Danio rerio: one gene and its partners. The protein of the gene in region 2 interacts with the protein of the main gene of each other region in a biochemical or structural test. Links are inferred from orthologs where the notes say so. Each region holds a gene or a part of one and is shown on either strand. Other genes may lie near its edges.

Region 1 (4,009 bases), on a different chromosome or scaffold from region 2:
CTTAACCCTCTGATAAAATCCCAGATAATTATTAAATCACTTATAACCTACTCTTTTAGGGTAGCTTTTTAGATTTATTATTATTGTAAGCGTTTGATTATATTCATTGCATTTTTTTTGCATTCATCCTGTATGCATCTTTAACAGCTGCACATTATGTCTGTAAAGTGCCCCGAGATGCTACTTTTAAAGGTGCTAAATGAAAATAAAGCTGCTTATTATATAAATCTGATCAATCAGATGGGGCCTTTACTACCTTTAGCCCCGCCTCCTAAGTAGTTGCTGTTCTGCTATTGGCTGGATTGGCTTAAAGGTGAAATCAGAGCTAAAAAATGATTCTCACTAATAGTGCTTTAAAGACTAAAGGTTTGCATCTTGACAGTTTTAAGTCTGAATTAGATCTGGAAAATATATTTTACTTGTTTATTGCAAAATCATGAAATAATTTTTTTAAAACAGCTAATTAAATTGACTTTTTCAGAGAAATGTTTGATTATAGAATATATATTGCATATTTTTCCCAGTATCGTGCAGCCTTAAATGAATAGTATGTTACCGCTTCATCCTCCTTGTCGACGTTGCTGGTCTGTGAGAGCTTGATGTTGCCTGTGCCCAGCTCTCCGCTGGCAGAGAACTTCACGCCATCCTTGGCACACGAGATCATGACAGCATCACCAATCTGTGACAGATCCCTGCAGATGCGGGCAAACTCACCCGACGGCATCTTCACCACACAACTGTATTCCTGCTCCTGAGGGGAAGAGAATAAAGCATGATCATTGCAGACAAACATCCACGATCATATCAGAAATAAACAGGAATCAAGAGAGGGAAACTCAATAAACTTTAAGACCTCATCGCCATTTTAGGTTTTAACTTAACATTGGTGACAATTCAACTTGTAGTATATTTACTAAATACTGATTGTAAGAAACGAATCCTAAACTAAATCGGTCATGTACTGAATAAAAATGCTAATCCCAACAGATGGCACCTATAGAACAGCAGGAAACATAGGCTTGCCTTTATTACTGCAGTAGACAAAGCAGTGTGATGCCAAATCTAGCAGGATTTTATCAATTTCATAAACCACACAGATTAAATTTAGGCAAACTTTAGCACACAACTACACATTATATAATCATAAAATGACCAAAACAATTATATCTTGTAAAACAACAGTTAAGGCTGTTTAATACCAAATTGATTTATCAACTTTTAATGACCCTGCAGACACCCTGTTATAATAAAGTCTTACTGGAATGCCAAGCTGCTCCACATCCAGATCCATCAGTTTCATCTCATAGTCGGACACTTTCTCTTGATCTGAAATGAGATGTAAATATTAGTATGGATTATTAGCTCTCCAGCAAAACTTAACTTTTGGTTTCATAGTAATAGTTGATAACATGGTGAAGAAAATCCATACTAGAAGCATTTTTTTTATGTGATGTTATTAACCACAAAATGGCTCCAGTATCTATGCGAATTTCATTCTTACATTTTTGGAGAAAATTATTATTAGAAAATTATTTTTAAATATTAAGTATTAATTATTTAGCTTAACTTTAATGATTCATTTTAAACCAAAGCCCATGTTTTTAACAGGTATTGCTGATAAATCGATATTAAAATACTGCAAATATAAATTTAGCAACATAAAATAAATTCATAATAAAAAAAAGTTTTTTTTAATTGTACACTATCAAAAGTATTGCTATTCCTAGTTTAAAAAGAAGTTAACTTACTGAGCGTTTCAAAGACCAGTGCCAAGGCGTCAGCATTGTCTTCAGCTCTGAGTGTGATGATGTCTTCATTTCCAGCACACTTCAGAATCTTCGACATGCTAGGAAACAGATGAATAATAATCAAAACACGTTCACTTCAGGTAGAAAAACACCATATTGATCGTAAAATGGTTTACCATTTACATTCGAAACAGTCATGGCATACACAAAAAGTGTCTAAGCAGGTTTTCTTTGTCTAACACCAGAGCCATGTTGTCATTCAGCAACCCGGCATTTTCTTTCCCGCCAACAAGCTTAAGCGCGCGCAAGTGACGTCACGATCAGTAGAGCGTGGGACGAATGCAGGAAACTGCGCGCCAAATTAAACTGATAGCCTATTTAAAACACAACCGTAAAACGGCATACTTTAATAACAACTACTGTAAATAAAATACTTTTGTCACTTTATAGTCTAAAAATGGCGCGCTGCTGTGTAGAGGCGCAGCCCCGGGCATGCGCAGACATGTTCAAACTTCACTCACCAAGTAAATACGAGTCAAATAACACAAAAGGCGCTTGATTTAGTCAGTGATTTTACCTGCTCAGATTGACCCCCATGGCTAGGTTTCTGTCGCAGCGGTAGGAGTCGAACCCGTCACTCCGGAGCGTCAGCTGCACCAGAGACACATGAGAGGAGTCCATACTCTGCAGAGAAATGCCCGACGAGCTCACATCCCAGCAAGCCTCGGTGATCAGGTCTTTCAGAGCCTCCAGGACCTTCTTAAGGATAGATCCCTGAACCAGACGTGCCTCAAACATTGTGCTGCTTTCTTAGTTTAGAGTAGGAGGAACTAAAGTTATCTAATCCTGTTACGACACAAGCTGCGGCCTGGTTAACTGCTTGTTTTCCAGCACAGGAAAGCAGAATCCTAAACTATCCTAGAGTTTAGCAGGTACTAATGCAGAGGAGGCACGGTGCAGATGTGCTGTCCACTGTTCTGGCGAGGCTCTGAATGTAACTGCGCGCGCTTTCGCCGGGATTTTGTTAAACTGACCCACTGTTGCCTTCGTCATTTCCGCTGACGTTTGACTCCTCCTGGAACGCAGACAGAACTGCGGACACTGACCAAAAGAGGGCGCAATTTGGTCAGAAGGTATGAGTTATTCACAACATTTATGAATACCCATTACAGTGCGTTTTAATAACCTTTACCCCCACCCAAACCCTAAACTGACCCGTCACTGTGGTGTAAAATATTATATATTGTCGTACAGTGTGAAAAATGATGCTATGTCAACGTGCGCATGCCCAAGTATCCACAACTGTATCCCTTTTTTTGTTTCTTTGACAAATTACTGTGCTGTTGCTAGAAGGGATACAGCTACGGTCGGCAGTTAACGAGAATTATTTATAAAATTTATAAATACCCATTACAGTGCGTTTTAATAACGTATACCCCCTAACCAAACCCTAAATTGACCAGTCACAGTAACGTAAATTATTAATTATTGTTGTGCAGTTTACCAAAGATCAGACTATGTTGATGTGCGCATGCCCAAGTATACGCACCTGTATCCCTTTTTTGTTTCTGTGACAAATTACTGTGCTGTTGCTAGAAGGGATACAGCTACGGTCAGCAGTTAACGAGAATTATTTATAAAAATTATAAATACCCATTACAGTGCGTTTTAATAACGTATACCCCTAACCAAACCCTAAATCGACAAGTCACAGTAACGTAAAATATTAATTATTGTTGTGCAGTGTACCAACGATTGATGTTGATGTGCGCATGCCCAAGTATCCGCAACTTTTTGTGTAACACATGTTTTGTTGCTAAAGGATATAGCTGCGGTCTTCAGTTAACAATAACTACTTATAATATTTATGAATACCCATTATAATGCTTTTTAATAACGTCTACCTTACCCAAATCCTAAATCGACCCATCACAGTAACGTAAAATACTGTTGTGTCACAAAAATCATGCTATGTTGATGTGCGCATGATCAAGTATCCCACAACTGTATCCCTTCTTTTGTTTGTGTAACACATTTATGTATGTATATATATATATATATATATATATATATATATATATATATATATACATACATACATACATACATATATGTGTTACACAAACAAAAGAAGGGATACAGTTGGGGATACTTGAGCATATATATATATATATATATATATATATATATATATATATATATATATATATATATATATGTATGTATGTGTGTGTGTGTGTGTGTGTGTATGTATATATATA
Region 2 (4,022 bases):
AGCTTAAACTGGGTGATCTATTAATTATCACCACTAATTAAGGCGTTTAACCTAATTAGGTTGCCCCATAAACACTAACCAACACCTGCTATGGGTTTTTAACATGGCTTTACTGTTATACTGAACTTGCACCATATAGTATTCCTCCATATAACTTAAATATTACTTATATTCAATAATAATTAATCAGAAGTGACTCTTGATTGCTTACTTGTCCCAGTTATAATCCCACCCGTTCGCAGTGGGCCATGCCGGAGGATGCGCTGCGTTTACGGCTGCCAGAGTTTCTGTGACTCGGCGTCCCTCTCCAAAATACCCATTTTTATCAGCCACCACCGCCGCACACACGAGTACCGCGGATCCGCCAGCGAACCCGCATGCGAGACTTAGCGCCCTCCGAAAAGACATGCTTCAAACCCGCACAAAACACCGGAGTCACCGCGGAGCTGCTTTTCAGCGCCGTGACGCACAATGAGAGAGTCGGACTGCTTAGGAAGTGCCGCTGTTTGCTTCTATCTCACAGCGTCGAACAAAGAGGACGTAGAAGTCCTGCTGTTTCTAACATGTGCTTTATTTTCCCCAAACCTGTATGAGAGTTTAATCCAGTAGAATATAGTTGGTTTTAACACAAAATTAACTTCCTTAAGCAGAGTCACGACTTCATTTGTGAAGGCAGCGACAAAAGACAGCCGCACGACCATGAAAAATAAAAGCCTCCATGATATAATAGTAACACCTTTTAATACTAGCATGTTTTGTCAGTATTATTTTTATATTAGCTAATAGATATATTAAATGGTTTTAGATATATTCTGTGTTTATTTTAAGCATTCAATTTGAATAAACAAAATAAGTTAATTAAATAAAAAAGGTAATCTAATGCTATTGGATTAACACCATTATCATACAACAAATTTCGCTTTATATTTTGTATAATATATTTAATTTTTTTATCTAACATAACATTATTGCGTTTGTGGTTTGTGTATTAATGATAATATTGTGTAATAATGAAATGCGTTCTTCCATTTTATAGAATTAATCATGCTAGGTTTTTAAAAAAAATATATATATTTTTTTTTACTTCTGTATAACTTTAAATAAAATGGATCACAATCAATTTAAACAACTGCACAGAAAAAATGAATAAATGTCAATCTTTTTTTCCTGCATTTTACTCCAGACCTGCAGGTGGCAGTAAATGTCAGCAAATGCTGCACATGCATGCTGGTTATGTTTTGATTGGTGTGTCGACATGTTTTGCTGTTGTTGATTTACAGTAATGTTTTATTTAGTTTGGTATTGTCATTCACAACTGTTCATTTCGTTGTTGTAAAGATGGACTCGGACGAAGAGGAAGACAATAATGACTGGGAACGCAGTTTAGAGTCAGACATTTTGGAGACTGGTGGGTTTCTATCTGGACAACCCTGAACTTCACCATAAATATGTTTTTGTAGACAACATTTACTCAAAGTATTCATGTGTCTTTAGAATAAAGTGTTAGTTTCTTTGGCATAATGTGTCATGGCAGTTTTGAAATATAGACTGTATTAAGGTTTGGTTTAGGTGACTGCCTCGGCTGGGTCAGTTGGCATTTCTGTGTGGAGTTTGTATGTCCTCCCCCTGTTCGCGTGGGTTTCCTCTTGGTGCTCTGATTCCCCCCACAGTCCAAAGACATGCGTTATTATAGGTAGTGCCAGACGGAATCTGCAGACATTGTTTGCTATTTCTGCGCAGAATTGTTAAAAATCTGCGGAATTATTTAGGGAGTATCATAACTAAAACCCTAATATATGTAATAAAAAAACAATACCGTTTAAACTTTTATTTAATGTTTAAAATGCAAATCCAATTAGATCCTCTTTATTTGGTAAACAAAGCAAGTATGTCATATAATATATCTACTAAAAGACAGAAATTATTACTTTACACACTGTATAGTAAATAAATCATATAAACATTTTTTTTATGTTAGTCAATAATATTACTGAAATTAATTAAAAAACTGAAATAAATATAAATTTACACACATTTACACAAGTAAATAAACCGAATCAACGATGGGCTAAAATTTTGTGGAATTCTGCATGCGCTGATTCCGTGTGGGATTAAAGCTTAATTCACACATAGTGTATGGATGGAAAAGTGTATGGGTGTTTCCCAGTGTTGGGTTGTGGCTGGACGGGCATCCGCTGCGTAAAAATGTGCTGGATAAGTTATCTGTTTAACTTACCCTGATTAATAAAGGAACTAAGCCGAAAAGAAAACTAACGAATACAGTATCTGTTTTATGTGTGTCTTGACTTATTATTTCAGAAGGAAGTTCCACTGATAGAGTTTCATTGACATCCCAGAGAGTGATCCTGCATTTTGACCTGGACTGTTTTTATGCACAAGTTGAGATGATCCGAAATCCAGCTCTCCGGACCAAACCTCTTGGTAAACCACCAAATACAGTTGAAGTCAGAATTATTAGCTCCCCTTTAAAATTTTTTTTCTTTGTTTTAAATATTTCCCAAATGATGTTTAACAGAGCAAGAACATTTTCACAGTATCTGATAATATGTTTTTTTTTCTGGGGAAAGTCTTGTTTTATTTTGGCTAGAATAAAAGCAGTTTTTAAATTTTTAAAAGTTATTTTAAGGTCAATATTATTTGCCCCTTTAAGCTAATTTTATTTTCGATTGTCTACAAAACAAAGCATCAATATATACAATAATTTGCCTGGTTAGTTCACCTAATTAACCTAGTTAAGCCTTTAAATGTCACTTTAAGCTGTATAGAAGTGTAAAATATAAAGAAAAGCATTATTTACTGTCATCAAAGCAAAGATAAAATAAGTCACTTATTAGAAATGAGTTATTAAATCTATTATTATTATAAATGTGTTGAAAAAATCTTCTCTCCGTTAAACAGAAATTGGGGAAAAAAGAAACAGAGAACTAATAAATCTGAGGAGTTAATAGTTCTGAGTTCAACTGTAATACAAATTTTTTTTTACACAGTATAAAATCTTTATTATTTGACTGTTTACATTTAGTTTTATATTCTTTTGCAAAACTTATGAGCACGTTTTTGTGTTTTCTGCCATTTAATTCAAATAAAATACTTTTGTAATTCTTGTCTTTTGTAATGTCATGTCTTTACTTTTCTTTAGGGATACAGCAGAAATATATTATTGTAACCAGTAATTATGTGGCAAGAGAGCTTGGCGTGAACAAGCTGATGTCAGTGACAGATGCAGTGGAGAAATGTCCACAGCTGGTGCTTGTAAAAGGAGAAGATCTCACTCATTACAGAGAAATGTCCTACAAAGTCACTGGTGAGAACATCATATGTTTAATGTGTACTGCTATGCATATGTGTCCATAAAGTGCAAGTGGGTCAAACACAAAAAGGGTTTTTTAAACATCAAAACAAGTTTAATAATACAACTTCATTTTCAAAGTAAAAAGATTAAAAAGTGTCCCTTTTTCCAATACATTTTTAAATGAACGTACATTAAAATCTACTAAAATGTCATTGAGTACAACAACAGTTTTTTATATATATCATATCAATCAAATGCAGAAGAAGGTAGATAATTTTTTCAAATCAATTGTGTGTAACCCAGACTTTTTTACAGTGTGGGGTGCCTGAATATAATTGGATGAACTGGCAGTGGACATTGTTACTCTGATTAAAACAAAGACAAACATTCTGACACACAAAGAATATTTTCGCAAAATAATAAATTACTTTAGCATTGTTTTTCATAAAAAACAAATATGTTACATTAGCACATTTCTTAAATTTCTTTAAACATATTGGGTTATTTGGTCACACTTTATTTTAATGGTCCGTTTGTTGAATTTAAGTTACATTGCATCTACATGCCTGCCAACTTATTCTCATTAGATTATAAGTAAACTTATTATAAGTAGATCATATTATGTAGAGGAGTGATTCTTGTAAAATAAATAACAAATAAATTACATGCATAGATAAATAAAATATAGTAAAGATAAAAGTGGTTTATA
Region 3 (4,194 bases), on a different chromosome or scaffold from region 2:
AAGGTCCAAAAAATACTATGTTAGGGATACATATTAAATAGGGGTGGCACAGTGGTTAGCACTAAGGTCACTGGTTCGAGTCCCAGCTGGGTCAGTTGGAGTTTCTGTGTGGAGTTTGCATGTTCTCCAAGTGTTGGCGTGGGCTTCCTCTGGGTGCTCCGGTTTCCCCCACAGTCCAAACACTATAGGGGAACTGATGAATTAATGTGGCCATAGTGTATGAGTGTATGAGTGTGTGTGTGTGAGTGTGTTTGTGTGTGTGTGTTTGTGTGTTTGTGTGTGTTTGTTTGTGTTTGTTTGTGTTTGTGTTTGTGTGTGTGTGTGTGTGTGTGTGTGTGTGTGTGTGTGTGTGTGTGTGTGTGTGTGCGAATAAGTGTGTATAGGTGTTTCCAAGTGGGTTGCTGCTGGAAGGGCATGGGCTCCATAAACAATATGCAGGGATAGTTGGTGGTTCATTCCGCTGTGGAGACCCCTGATGAATAAGGGGACTAAGCCGAAGGAAAATGAATAAATGATAAATATTAAATAAAAGATTCATAAACAGGATCCCAGTCACAATTTAAATGTATTTTATTTGGATTCCTAAAGATATTCGGTGACCAAACTCTTAATTTAATGCATGTATCTGATTAATCAAACTGTTTAGTTTAAATGCACCAAAACATATTGGCTATATTTATTGAAAAAAATGATAAATAAAAATAAAAATGTGCTTTTTTCAAAGGAGGTGTGCTCATTTATGCTGAGCACTGTGCGCTTTTAATTATTAGAAACACAAATAGACATAATTAATATGTCTTATATCTGACATGGAGTTCTGTATGGGACTATTCATTGCAATTAATCGCAATAAATTCTTTGACATTTAATCTTCATCTAAATTGTAATTAGAAAGTAATAACTGTTGAAGTGGCTCTGAGAATAAACAGCTCTTACTGTGTGAGATCCGCCTTCCCGTGAGCCTCTGGGACCCGAGCCACCTGCAGATCTGGACACAGCTTTCTGGCATCATCCGCGAACATGTTCCTGCCGACTCCATGAGCTCTGGCCTCGTAACTCACCGCTATAATGCTGGACACAGTAATCACAGCACTTTAACACAGATCCTCTGAGGAAGACTGAGGTCCAGTTGGCTTTATTTTCACACAAGTGTTCATTTTAATGCTCTCTATAGTGTTTACGGCTACTTTAAATGTTGGGTCTGAAATTCAAAACAACATCAGCACTATTTATTATTATTATTATTAACTGACTAAACAATGTTGTGCTTTGATATTCACTGAATATATTCTGAATGTGTGAATATAAAGCCAATGTTTACCTCATTATCACATTATCAGCCGGTGGCTATCAAAATACAACACTGATCACAGTCAGTAAATAGTGCTGATGTTGTTTTTACTCATACTTACATGCTGTTTCACACCCAATATTCAAAATACCATGGTAAACTATACAGGGAGGGTGTCAGGAGTCGTCACTGAATGAATGTGCAAATATAAAACCAACTTTACCCCAATAAAGATTACTATAGTATATTTGTAATGTAGGTCGGTAACATTACTAAACTAATAAAATGCATTACACATGTCTTTTTAAATCATGTATTTGAAATCTGTAGTGAAATAAAGCTCCCAGCTCTGATTATAATGTATATTTCTGCTTATATCTGTGCTGTTTTGCTCATTTCTGAGCAGTTTTTCTGTCAGTTTTCTATTGGGGTGAAGTTGGTTTAATATGCTGAAGCATTAATTGAGTATTTTAAATGCTCTAATATACAGTATAATACACTTTACTAAAGCATAGTTAAAAATTGCTATAGTATATTAGTGATGTAGGACGGTACTTAACTTGACAGAATACATTACAAATTACTTTTTAATGAATGTATTTTGTGATAACGAAGTAAAGCTGGTTATATGTTAACACATTTGCTCATTTCTGAACAGTGACAACTTGTGAAACGCTAAACTTAATATTTGGTCTGAAATAGCATGCAGGTCTGACTTCACAATGACATTATCATTATTTTATTGACTATAAGCAGTGTTGTACTTTGATATTCACTGACTGATAATGTGATTTCCCCATTTATGGTTTGCAAAAAACACTTTTCTGAAATTATATGATGAATATAAAGCCAACTTTTACCTCAATATCACATTATCAGCCGGTGGCTATCAAAATACAACACTGATCACAGTCAGTAAATAGCGCAGATGTTGTTTTTACTCATACTTACATGCTGTTTCACACCCAATATTCAAAATACCATGGTAAACTATACAGGGAGGGTGTCAGGAGTCATCACTGAATGAATGAGTGAAAATAAAACAAACTTTATATTAAGGAGAAAGTCTGAATGTGTGCAAATAAAACCAACTTTAGCCCAATTAAAATTACTGTAACTGTATATCTGCGATGCAGGACATTACTAAACGTGACTAATCTAACGGAATACGCTACACATGTCTTTTTAAAGTATGTATTTTGAGATCTGTAGTGAAATAAAGCTCCCAGCTCTGGTTATATTGTATATTTCTGCTTAAATCTGTGCTGTTTTGCTCATTTGTGTGCGGGTTTCTGTCAGTTTCCTCACCCTCCGCCTTTCCAGGTCTTGTACTGCGCCACAACGCAGGGTTTGTTCTTCAGCTCGGGCTTCAGTCTCTGCTCCACCTGCACATAGAAGCAGTCCATGTCCACCAGCGCGACCACTCGCTCCTTCCCGAAATCCATCAGCGTGAGATCATAAATCTGGATTATTATGAAAGTCTGTCTGTGTTATGGAACTTCCTGGTGTTCTCCGCGGGTAAAGCTCGAGCTCTTCTTCTTCGTCTGTCTCTGTGTGGAGCAGCGCGAGTGTGATCTGCGCACTGCCCTCTGGCGCACTTGAAAATAAATATTGAGTTAAATTATTATTTTTATAGTTAAATATTTTTACATTACAGCGAGGGTTTAGGTAGGGATAGTCAGAAGTCAATAAAATACAATTCATGAATAATTTATTAAAATAATATAAATAACTGACATTAACAGGTATGCCATTCTCACGGGTTGTTGCTAGAAGGGATACAGCTGCTGACAGAAGTTAACGAGAACTGTTTATTAAATTAAATTAACTACTAATTGCATTTTATTAACGTCCATTTCTACCCAACACTAAACCCAACCCTCATTGTAATGTAAAAACACTAACTATAGCAAGAATTATTAATATTAATTATTAAATTACCCGTTCATTGTATTTCATTAACATCTACCGCTAAACCCAAACCTCACAGTGATGTAAAACAGTAATTATACAGAGTATTATTAATAATATTTAATAAATTATCCATGTAATTGTATTTTAATAACACCAACCCCAACCCACAGTAATGTACAATTATATTATACCGAGTATTATTCATATTATTTATTAAATTACCTATTAAATTGTATTTTATTAATGCCCCAACCCTAAACCCATCACAGTAACGTAAAAAACGTAATTATACGGAGTATTTTTCATATTATTTAATAAATTGCCCATTAGATTGTATTTAATATCTATTCTAAACTAATCTATTATATTGTCTATACATAAGTAAATACTCTAAAACACTCTATATCTAAAATGCTCTGGTGATTAATCCATAAAATATTATTTCTATATACATATACTCCATCTAAACACAAAAATACTCTGTATCTGGGGATGGAGACATGAAATACTCTATATCTACATACTGTATCTGGTATACTGCATACTGTATCTACCATACTGTATCTGGTGATACATAAACTTTATATTTACTCTCTATATATCTAAATACTCTAAAATACTCTATATCTGGGGATTGATACTCTAAATCACTCTATATCTACTCTGGGATACTCTCTCTCTCTCTCTCTCTCTCTCTCTCTCTCTCTCTCTCTCTATATATATATATATATATATATATATATATATATATATATAGCTAAATACTCTAAAATACTCTATATCTACTCTGGGATACTCTCTCTATAATATCTAAATACTCTAAAATACAAATGTTTGGGTATTGATACTCCAAATACTCTAAATGTATCTGTAAATACTCAAAAATATTTTAAGATTATGTTTATAAATAATATATTAAAAAAAAAAATATATATATATATATATATATATATAATAAATATAAAAATGTTTTGATTGAAGTGTCAAAA

Evidence for each region. The genes of interacting proteins can lie anywhere in the genome.
Region 1: the proteins of poli (region 2) and pcna form a complex in vitro, tested with the Homo sapiens proteins (4 studies listed by BioGRID, with this or other methods). The link is inferred for Danio rerio from reciprocal best matches to the Homo sapiens genes POLI and PCNA.
Region 3: the proteins of poli (region 2) and polh interact in far-western blotting, tested with the Homo sapiens proteins (2 studies listed by BioGRID). The link is inferred for Danio rerio from reciprocal best matches to the Homo sapiens genes POLI and POLH.

What each region holds. Positions count from the first base shown.
Region 1 is NC_133185.1:46,058,744-46,062,752, forward strand, and holds the start of pcna (proliferating cell nuclear antigen), read right to left. Parts: upstream 2,809-4,009; 5' UTR 2,547-2,808; coding exon 2,326-2,546; exon of another isoform or gene 2,273-2,325; coding exon of another isoform or gene 2,241-2,272; exon of another isoform or gene 2,051-2,240; intron 1,847-2,050; coding exon 1,749-1,846; intron 1,327-1,748; coding exon 1,259-1,326; intron 752-1,258; coding exon 557-751; intron 1-556. Other genes in the region: E3 ubiquitin-protein ligase TRIM69, read left to right, coding at 2,241-2,272. UniProt on the Homo sapiens protein: Auxiliary protein of DNA polymerase delta and epsilon, is involved in the control of eukaryotic DNA replication by increasing the polymerase's processibility during elongation of the leading strand.
Region 2 is NC_133180.1:19,648,492-19,652,513, reverse strand, and holds the start of poli (DNA polymerase iota), read left to right. Parts: upstream 1-1,216; 5' UTR 1,217-1,245; exon of another isoform or gene 1,246-1,338; coding exon 1,339-1,408; intron 1,409-2,319; coding exon 2,320-2,442; intron 2,443-3,160; coding exon 3,161-3,325; intron 3,326-4,022. Other genes in the region: pgam5 (serine/threonine-protein phosphatase PGAM5, mitochondrial precursor), read right to left, coding at 212-408. UniProt on the Homo sapiens protein: Error-prone DNA polymerase specifically involved in DNA repair. Plays an important role in translesion synthesis, where the normal high-fidelity DNA polymerases cannot proceed and DNA synthesis stalls. Favors Hoogsteen base-pairing in the active site.
Region 3 is NC_133188.1:722,649-726,842, forward strand, and holds the start of polh (DNA polymerase eta), read right to left. Parts: upstream 2,809-4,194; 5' UTR 2,737-2,808; coding exon 2,600-2,736; intron 1,072-2,599; coding exon 937-1,071; intron 1-936. UniProt on the Homo sapiens protein: DNA polymerase specifically involved in the DNA repair by translesion synthesis (TLS). Due to low processivity on both damaged and normal DNA, cooperates with the heterotetrameric (REV3L, REV7, POLD2 and POLD3) POLZ complex for complete bypass of DNA lesions.